Linked DNA regions of Nothobranchius furzeri. The protein of the gene in region 1 purifies or fractionates together with the protein of each later gene. This does not show direct contact. Links are inferred from orthologs where the notes say so. Each region holds a gene or a part of one and is shown on either strand. Other genes may lie near its edges.

Evidence for each region.
Region 2: the proteins of H(+)/Cl(-) exchange transporter 4 (region 1) and tmem9 purify together in Homo sapiens (co-immunoprecipitation; 3 studies listed by BioGRID and IntAct, with this or other methods). This does not show direct contact. The link is inferred for Nothobranchius furzeri from reciprocal best matches to the Homo sapiens genes CLCN4 and TMEM9.

The regions. Positions count from the first base shown.
Region 1 is NC_091743.1:82,166,128-82,170,449, reverse strand, and holds the start of H(+)/Cl(-) exchange transporter 4, read left to right. Parts: upstream 1-1,233; 5' UTR 1,234-1,393; coding exon 1,394-1,409; intron 1,410-1,482; coding exon 1,483-1,637; intron 1,638-1,710; coding exon 1,711-1,810; intron 1,811-2,018; coding exon 2,019-2,206; intron 2,207-2,276; coding exon 2,277-2,399; intron 2,400-2,486; coding exon 2,487-2,693; intron 2,694-2,758; coding exon 2,759-2,839; intron 2,840-2,908; coding exon 2,909-3,454; intron 3,455-3,527; coding exon 3,528-3,714; intron 3,715-3,780; coding exon 3,781-4,179; intron 4,180-4,252; coding exon 4,253-4,322. UniProt on the Homo sapiens protein: Strongly outwardly rectifying, electrogenic H(+)/Cl(-)exchanger which mediates the exchange of chloride ions against protons.
Region 2 is NC_091755.1:26,873,636-26,877,898, reverse strand, and holds the start of tmem9 (proton-transporting V-type ATPase complex assembly regulator TMEM9), read right to left. Parts: upstream 2,908-4,263; 5' UTR 2,770-2,907; intron 2,594-2,769; 5' UTR 2,573-2,593; coding exon 2,483-2,572; intron 2,154-2,482; coding exon 2,062-2,153; intron 1-2,061. UniProt on the Homo sapiens protein: Transmembrane protein that binds to and facilitates the assembly of lysosomal proton-transporting V-type ATPase (v-ATPase), resulting in enhanced lysosomal acidification and trafficking.

The DNA.
Region 1 (4,322 bases):
CTCTTTTCCCCTGATATGTCCACTTTTCACTCTCTGTCCGGGCGTCCGGGGGGTTCTTGTATTGATGAAAATGTCCGGTTTTTCATCCAGGAGCAGGGATCAAATTATGGGGGAGCTGGATATCCTACACATCCAGGGGAGCCGGATAAAACGTTTTCCACCTATATTACATCATTTATGGACTCTTTTGAGCAGAGAGCACATATAGCGATGATCGTTGGTGTTCAGCGCTCCAGGCTGCTGCGTCCAGCGCACGGTCCATTCTCAAAGTGGCGCAACCCAAAAACTATAATTAACACACGATCATTCATGTCTGCACATGTTCTCTACTTTCTGTCTTATTTGTGCCTGAAGCGCTCTGCCACTGCGGAGCTCATCGTGTGCTGTGGTGATTTTACCTCACTGAAGCAGCATCGAATCGCGCACTCCGCTTTGCGGTCAGGAGATCCCTTTGATCTGCTCAAAAGTAACTGATGAGGTGAAAAAGTAAGAATCCAGGCAGCAGTTTTTCTGGAGAGTTTAGAGGAGATGCAGGAAGATGAGAGACAGACAAGACAGGAAATAGTTAAATAAAAACAAGAAAACTAAGTAAAATGTAGGTAGATTTATCTCCACTACATGTTTTTACTTGTATAAAACAATAAGTTCGCACATGTAATATTTATACATTTGATACAATTCAGATCACATTCAAAACTCAATCACACACCCAGGGCCGTTTCAAGACATTTTGGGGGCCAAGGCAAAATGACCCCCCCCCCCCCCCCCCCATGCAGACTGACCAATGAAGAGAGGGCCAAAGGTTACCTTGAGCGGGTTACATGATGTCAGGCATTCAAGTATTGAGTATATTTACTGCATATTACAGTAAAATATTCTGTATGTGACCATTTCATGGTGGTCCTTGGGTCGTGATGATGGGGTCCTTGAATGTTGTTGCCCAGGGTACAACAAAGTGTTAATCTGGCCCTGCAAGCACATGAGGATGTGTTTCGGTTGCTAACAGGCACCAGAATTAAAATGAAAAATTATATGAACTCTAACGCGATATCTTCATCCGTCATCAACCGCGAGCTACACATGTAGGAAAATCTGTTTGGCTTAAATGCCGGCTTTCAGCCACTTCCCCTGCTGCGTCAGTCTGCTCTCGTCTATTTTCCTGGTGAGGTGCTGCTCAACTCGAACAAGCCCATAGACGATCTTCGACTTCAAACAACGCGGCATTTCAGAAGTATCGCGAGATCGACTGGAGCATCAGTCTGCGACGCTTCGTGCTCGCTGTTGGTTGTTTTTCTGTACATATCCGGTAAAATGCCTGGTTTATTCTTTTTTATGTGACTTAATAATTTACCATAAACGTTTTGGGTCTGCAGTGGAAATAACAGACAGAAATATGGAGGCCGCTGAAGGTAAGACGTGTTTAATGGAGCTAAAGATGCTAATGTCGGGTGTAAACACAGCGATGATGTTGCACTCGGACAGGTATCAGCGCTCCCACCCCCACGGAGGACATGAACGGAGCCGGAACCTTAATGGACCTGCTGGACGAACCCTTCCCGGACGTGGGCACGTATGAAGACTTCCACACGATTGACTGGCTGCGGGAGAAGTCCAGAGACACGGACCGCCACAGGAAGGTCCGTGAGGCGTTTGGTGGTGGTGGGGGGGATCCTACTGCTGCAGGTGTCTCACTTCCGGCTTCTCCTCCAGATCACCAGCAAGAGCAGGGAGTCCATCTGGGAGCTGATCAAGTCTCTGTTGGACGCCTGGTCCGGATGGGTGGTGATGCTGCTCATCGGCCTCCTGTCAGGTCAGTCCAGATCCAGGTCAGGGTCCACATCTGGATCCAGAAGTGATGGGGGTTTTATTCCAGACTACTAGGAAGCAAACGGATCTGCTTTCTGATGGAATCATAAAGTTTACACTTTTATTTCGGTAACTCCAGATGAAGCTGTAGAGCTGCATCAGCTGGAGCAGGCACGGGTCAGGTGGTAGCAGGTAACTGTGGCTGTCCTCAGGTACGCTGGCAGGTGTGATCGACCTGGCCGTGGACTGGATGACGGACCTGAAGGAGGGCGTGTGTCTGTCAGCCTTCTGGTACAGCCACGAGCAGTGCTGCTGGACCTCCAATGAGACCACCTTCGATGACCGGGACAAGTGTCCACAGTGGCAGAAATGGGCAGAGCTAATGACGGGTCACACAGATGTGAGGACTGACCTGATTTGAGGTGATTTGATGCATAAAGTTCTGGACTTTATTGGGTTTCTGATTCCAGGGAGCTGGAGCGTACGTGCTGAACTACTTCCTGTACATCCTGTGGGCACTGCTGTTCTCCTTCTTGGCCGTGTCACTGGTCCGAGTCTTCGCTCCATACGCGTGCGGGTCAGGAATCCCAGAGGTACTGAGCTGAGGGTGCTTACAGAACTTTCACGTGAAGAAACAAACCATGAGCTTTTGATGAGCCGGGTTTGTTCTCCTTCTCCAGATCAAAACGATCCTCAGTGGCTTCATCATCCGGGGATACCTGGGGAAGTGGACCCTGCTGATAAAGACCGTCACGCTGGTTCTGGCCGTGTCCTCTGGTCTGAGTCTGGGGAAGGAGGGTCCTCTGGTCCACGTGGCCTGTTGCTGTGGAAACCTCTTCTGCAGCCTCTTCTCCAAGTACAGCAAGAACGAGGGCAAACGCAGAGAGGTCCGCTGCAGCAGGTTCTGGTCCCGGTTCTGGTTCTGGATAATAATCTGTGTTTGTCTCCACAGGTGTTGTCGGCGGCGGCAGCAGCAGGTGTGTCCGTGGCCTTCGGAGCGCCTATTGGAGGGGTTCTGTTCAGCCTGGAGGAGGTTGGTTCTGATCCGATCTGATCCGTGTAAGGTTCTGGTTCTGTGGTAAAGCTTTCTCTTGTCCTCCAGGTGAGCTACTACTTCCCTCTGAAGACTCTGTGGAGGTCGTTCTTCGCGGCGCTGGTGGCGGCGTTCACACTACGGTCCATAAACCCGTTTGGGAACAGCCGCCTGGTTCTGTTCTACGTGGAGTACCACACCCCCTGGTACATGGCCGAGCTGGTTCCCTTCATCCTGCTGGGGGTGTTCGGGGGACTGTGGGGAACCCTGTTCATCCGGGCCAACATCGCCTGGTGCCGGCGGAGGAAGACGACCCTGCTGGGGAAGTACCCGGTTCTGGAGGTGATTGTGGTGACGGGGATCACGGCGGTTCTGGCGTACCCAAACCCGTACACCCGCCGCAGCACCAGCGAGTTGATTTCAGAGCTGTTCAACGACTGTGGAGCGCTGGAGTCCTCCCAGCTCTGCGACTACGTCAACAATCCCAACATGAGCCGACCCGTAGATGACATCCCGGACCGACCCGCCGGGCCCGGTGTCTACAACGCCCTGTGGCAGCTTGCCCTCGCTCTCGTCTTCAAGATCCTCATCACCATCTTCACCTTCGGCATGAAGGTCAGAACTTTGCTGTTTCACAACGTTTGGGCCCAGATGAGTTCTAGTGACCGTGGTTCTGGTTCCTCCTCAGATCCCGTCGGGCCTCTTCATTCCCAGCATGGCGGTGGGAGCGATCGCGGGTCGGATCGTCGGGATCGCCGTGGAGCAGATGGCCTACCACCACCATGACTGGATCATCTTTAAGAACTGGTGTCGGCCCGGCGCCGACTGCGTCACGCCGGGACTCTACGCCATGGTGGGAGCTGCTGCCTGCCTGGGTGAGCAGATCGGACGCAGAGCTGAGCCGGTTCTGGTTCCTGTATTAATGTTGTGGTTCTGATCAGGGGGCGTGACCAGGATGACGGTGTCTCTAGTGGTGATCATGTTCGAGCTGACGGGTGGGCTGGAGTACATCGTTCCGCTGATGGCCGCCGCCGTCACCAGTAAGTGGGTCGCCGACGCCTTCGGGAAGGAGGGGATCTACGAGTCCCACATCCAGCTCAACGGCTATCCCTACCTGGACGTCCGGGATGAGTTCACCCACCGCACCCTGGCCACCGACGTGATGAGGCCACGCCGGAATGACCCTCCTCTGGCTGTCCTCACGCAGGACAGCACCACAGTGGAGGACGTGGAGACGCTCATCAAGGATACGGACTATAACGGTTTCCCCGTGGTCGTTTCCCGGGAGTCGGAGAGGCTCATCGGATTCGTCCAGCGCCGGGACCTCACGCTCGCCATCAGTAAGTCTTTAACAAAACCTGCTTCCGGGACAAGAGACCGAGTAACAGCGTCCTCCTTCCTGTCCATCCTCAGGGAACGCCCGTCAGAAGCAGGACGGCGTGGTGAGCAGCTCCGTAGTCTACTTCACTGAAGATGCGCCGCA
Region 2 (4,263 bases), on another chromosome or scaffold:
AGGTCAAAATTTAAAAATGATTCTATCTTATTAAAGGAGTCATCACAAGTATCTACGTCATATTAGGTCATAAACATAATTTGTATTGGAAAAAAAAAATCAAAAAGTGCTTTTCTGACCCTTTTTTTTGTAAAGGACGTTTTCTCGCGAGAGCAAAGGCGATATTTTGGCTGTATGAAAAGGACATTAGAATAATGCAAATGAGTTGATTGGTGGAAGGAAGCAGGGGTGTTGACACCATATGTTTCGCTTCAGCATCTCTCTCCAAAATAAAGTGCCTGTGACGGATAAATTCTGCCTTACCGTTTGAATTTCAGGTAAGTTTCTCAGTGTTGGAATCTCCCCTCATTCTAGATGAATCCTCAATGCCATCTTCGCCTGATATAGCCCCAAAAGTTATAAAGCATTCTGGCTTAAAATGGCTAGCACAGACATCGAGAGTAGTGGGGAGAGTTTCAGGAACAGCCATCCACTTTCAGCTGCTTAGCCGGAGTCGGGTCACTGAGGCAGCAGCCTAAGCCGGGATGCCCAGACTTCCCTCTCTTCAGCTACTTGAGCCAGCTCTTCCGGGGGAATCTCAAGTTGTTCCCTGGCCAGTCGAGAGACATAGTCTCTCCAGCGTGTCTTGGGTCTCTTCCCAGTTGGACGTGCCCGGAAAACCTCATCAGGGAGGCGTCCAGGAGGCACCCTGACCAGATGCCCAAGCCACCTCAACTGGCTCCTCTCAATGTGGAGGAGCAGCAGATCTACTCTGAGTCCCTCCCGGATGACTGAGCTTCTCACCTTATCTCTAAGGGAGAGCCCAGACACCCTGCGGGGAAAACTAATTTTGGCTGTTTGTATCCGTGATCTCGTTCTTTCGGTCACTACCCAAAGCTTGTGACCGTAGGTGAGGGTGGGAACGTAGATCAACCAGTAAATCAAGAGCTTTGCCTTCCAGCTCAGCTATCTCCACCATGACAGACCAATACAACACCCGCATCACTGCAGACGCTGCACCAATCCGCCTATCGATCTCACGCTCCAGCGCTGTTAAAAATAAAAGAAATCCACAAGCTTCCCAGCTTCCCGTGACCGTTGAAACGACGTCAGTCCGAGACGTCCCGTCATGGTTAAAAAAATTAAACCACCGTGTTTTCTGGCAGTGAATTCAACGTTTTTCAGCGCATCTCATTTAGACGTCTAACAATAAAAATTTGAGCATCTTATTACTTTATTACAGTAAAAAACATATTTAAAAAAATTAAATAATTGCAATCTGAGTCAGAATCTCGTATGTCCCAGCCTGAATTTGAACCCGGGTTCTCTGTGTGTAAGTCGGGTGTCTTGCTAACTGAGCTCTCTTCGACAACTTTTGTTAACTGAAAAAAATGTCTATTACCAATAATGGTGTTAAAACCCAGCAAACATTTGGACCCTTGATCACAGCTGAAATTACGTCAGAGCGATAAAAGTTTAATATTTGAAATTACAAATTATTATTTTTATATTTTTAACGACGACTAGTTGTCTTTTCTGGCCGTGAATTCCACATATTTCACAGCCTTGCTGTCGGACTAATGTTTGCTGGGTTGGTCTGATTTTGGTAAAACAAACACATTTGTGTGGAGTTTGCAGTCAACAACTGAGCAGCTCACATGTGAAACACACTTCAACATTTTCCGTTCTCCTGATTTCAGTAATGGCGGTGCTCGACTGAATTTGAGGGGAAGCAGAGCAGTGCGGGCTATAGCGGTGTTGCTCTGCGTTGTCCATATATGGTACTGTACATCCTGCCTTTGTGACAACATCAAGGCCAGAACTCAAGGGGCTCAGGGGATGCACCTGGGCTGGTTGAAGAAACCAAGAGTAAAAAAATGATCAGTGTTAAATGTTAAATTATCGGCTTCCCGGCCAGTGAAAAATAATTAGGAAATCATTATATTTACAGTTTTTCAAGTGGAAAAGTGAAAACTTCAGGTGATGACTCCTTTAATATAAAATAATTAGAACAATACCTTCCTGCAGGCTGCTCAAACTCACCCTCCTAAAAGGATACTTTGTCGCAATAAAGTTCCTTACCAATCTTTCTGGGTGACATTTTTGTTATAGATGTGTCCAGAAATGTTTCTGTAGGGTGGGCAGATGCACTTGCAGCGCACATCCTCAAAGTTCTGCAACAGTCAAGAAAAGTTAATTAAAGATTGGGTCTTCTCATTGATCCACGATGCATTTTAAGATATTTTGCACATATTTGACTGCACAAGATGCAACATTGTTTTTAAGGATGTGACCTTAATATAGTGGTAGATTGAAGATAAAATCACACACATATAAAGGTTTTCTCTGACAAGCACTGATTTATGATTTTGCTCTAATATGCAATGAAAACATAAAGGGTAGATCTGTTATAATGTAACACAAGTTACTGAGTTGACACTGAAAATCAAAATAATACAAAAACAAGCTCTAACAGGACATAAAATGGTCGGTTTGTTTTTACCTTGGCCTGAACAGGAACAGCAGTTTCCAGCAGCAGCACGGTCACTAATGTGGCTGGAACAAAGACCCAGGATCCACCTCGGCCGGGCATTTCAACTAAAAGGACAACAGGCTGCACGACGACAGCACAAATGACCACAGTGTCAAAACAAAACATACAACTAGCAAGCTAGCACCTAGCCAAGTTAGCTAACAGGCTAACACAAAAAATGAAACAAATATCACGTCAAACGTTGACTCTGAAATTAAAATAAAATGCTATTGCGTATAATGGCATATTTAACTTACGCTGTAACAGCAGAAAAGCTTGTTTTATGAACATCCAGAATCCTGCTACATGCGGTTTGGTTGCAGCTGAAAAAAAAAATCGTCAAGTTGACTCTAAACTTCCGGATTTCGGAATCATCACTGACCTCCCATGAACACGGGGTAATGGCGCCTCCTGCTGGTGAAATGTTAAAATAACTTTGAAATTCTTAAACTTTATTTAACAAAACAGAAAAGAACAAAATAATAAATTCCAAGAACAACACACGAATCCAAACATTCACACCCCCTTCAAGATGTCAAATTAAAAGAGAGGAACACCCTCTGGTGGGAGGTATATTAATCAAATATACAAAAAATAAAAATAAAAACATTAAAATAACAATAGTTACAAAAAATTAATAATAATAATAAAAAAGAAGATACAGAGGGAACAAGATGAAATTTAAACGATTTATAAAACCATTCAAACACGGAATACCAAAACAACAGACATTTTATATTAAAACTAAATGAGTTCAAGAAGGAATACGCTGCCAAATGAAGGTGATTGATGGCCACATACGCTGTCTATAAGGGATTTATGTGACTAATCTTTTAGTATCTGGCTTTCAAGAATAAGGATTTTTTTCCACTCCCCTGTGGAAATAAGCTGCTTTCTTGCGTTTAGTACGCTCAAATGTTATTTGAACCCAAACAAAATGACAAAACAACCTAAATTTGCCACAAGAGGGCGACATTTGTTCAGCAGTGTGGCATTCATAAATGAGAGCAATAAAGGTGGCACTTTTTCTTTTCACCCACAACTACTATTCACTTATCCACAGTTACATTCGCTGCAAAACCACTTTTTAAATTAATTTAGCAGTTTGTTTTCTTGTTCAAATGAGCAAACATGTATCTGGATCAACTGAACAGAAAATAATGTTTTCATTCATCTCCAAGATAAAAATTTACACGGTGTTCATTATTGCTGCAGGTTATAAAATAATCAAGGTAGACAAAAAATAAATGTGTAATAAAAATACAAAAATCCATAAATAACAAGGAATAAAATGCACAGAGACCACAATCATAGACTGAAAGTGCTACACACACATAACAACAAAGCAAAACAAAATTACTCCAGTATTCATACAGGTGTGACTTTGAATACATTAAATATATAAAAGAAGAGAAAACTGCAAAACCACCTACAACACAATAAGCATATCAGGTTTTTAAAAAACCAAATGAACCACATAGTTTAGCATTATATGGACCGGCAATTACCTGGATGACAAGCATTAAATATAAGTAACAACTATCATAAAAATGTTAACAAAAATCATTTCAATATTTAGTCAAATGAAAAAACAAAAAGTTATTATTCCTATTCTTTCTTCCCTTTATTAATTTGTAAAATAAGCCCCAGAATCATCAGCCAATACACCTATTTCCTGGTAATCCTGCTTTCACATTTCTCTGTACGCTAAGACACTCATACCTATAAGTAGTAAAAATCAATCACTGAAA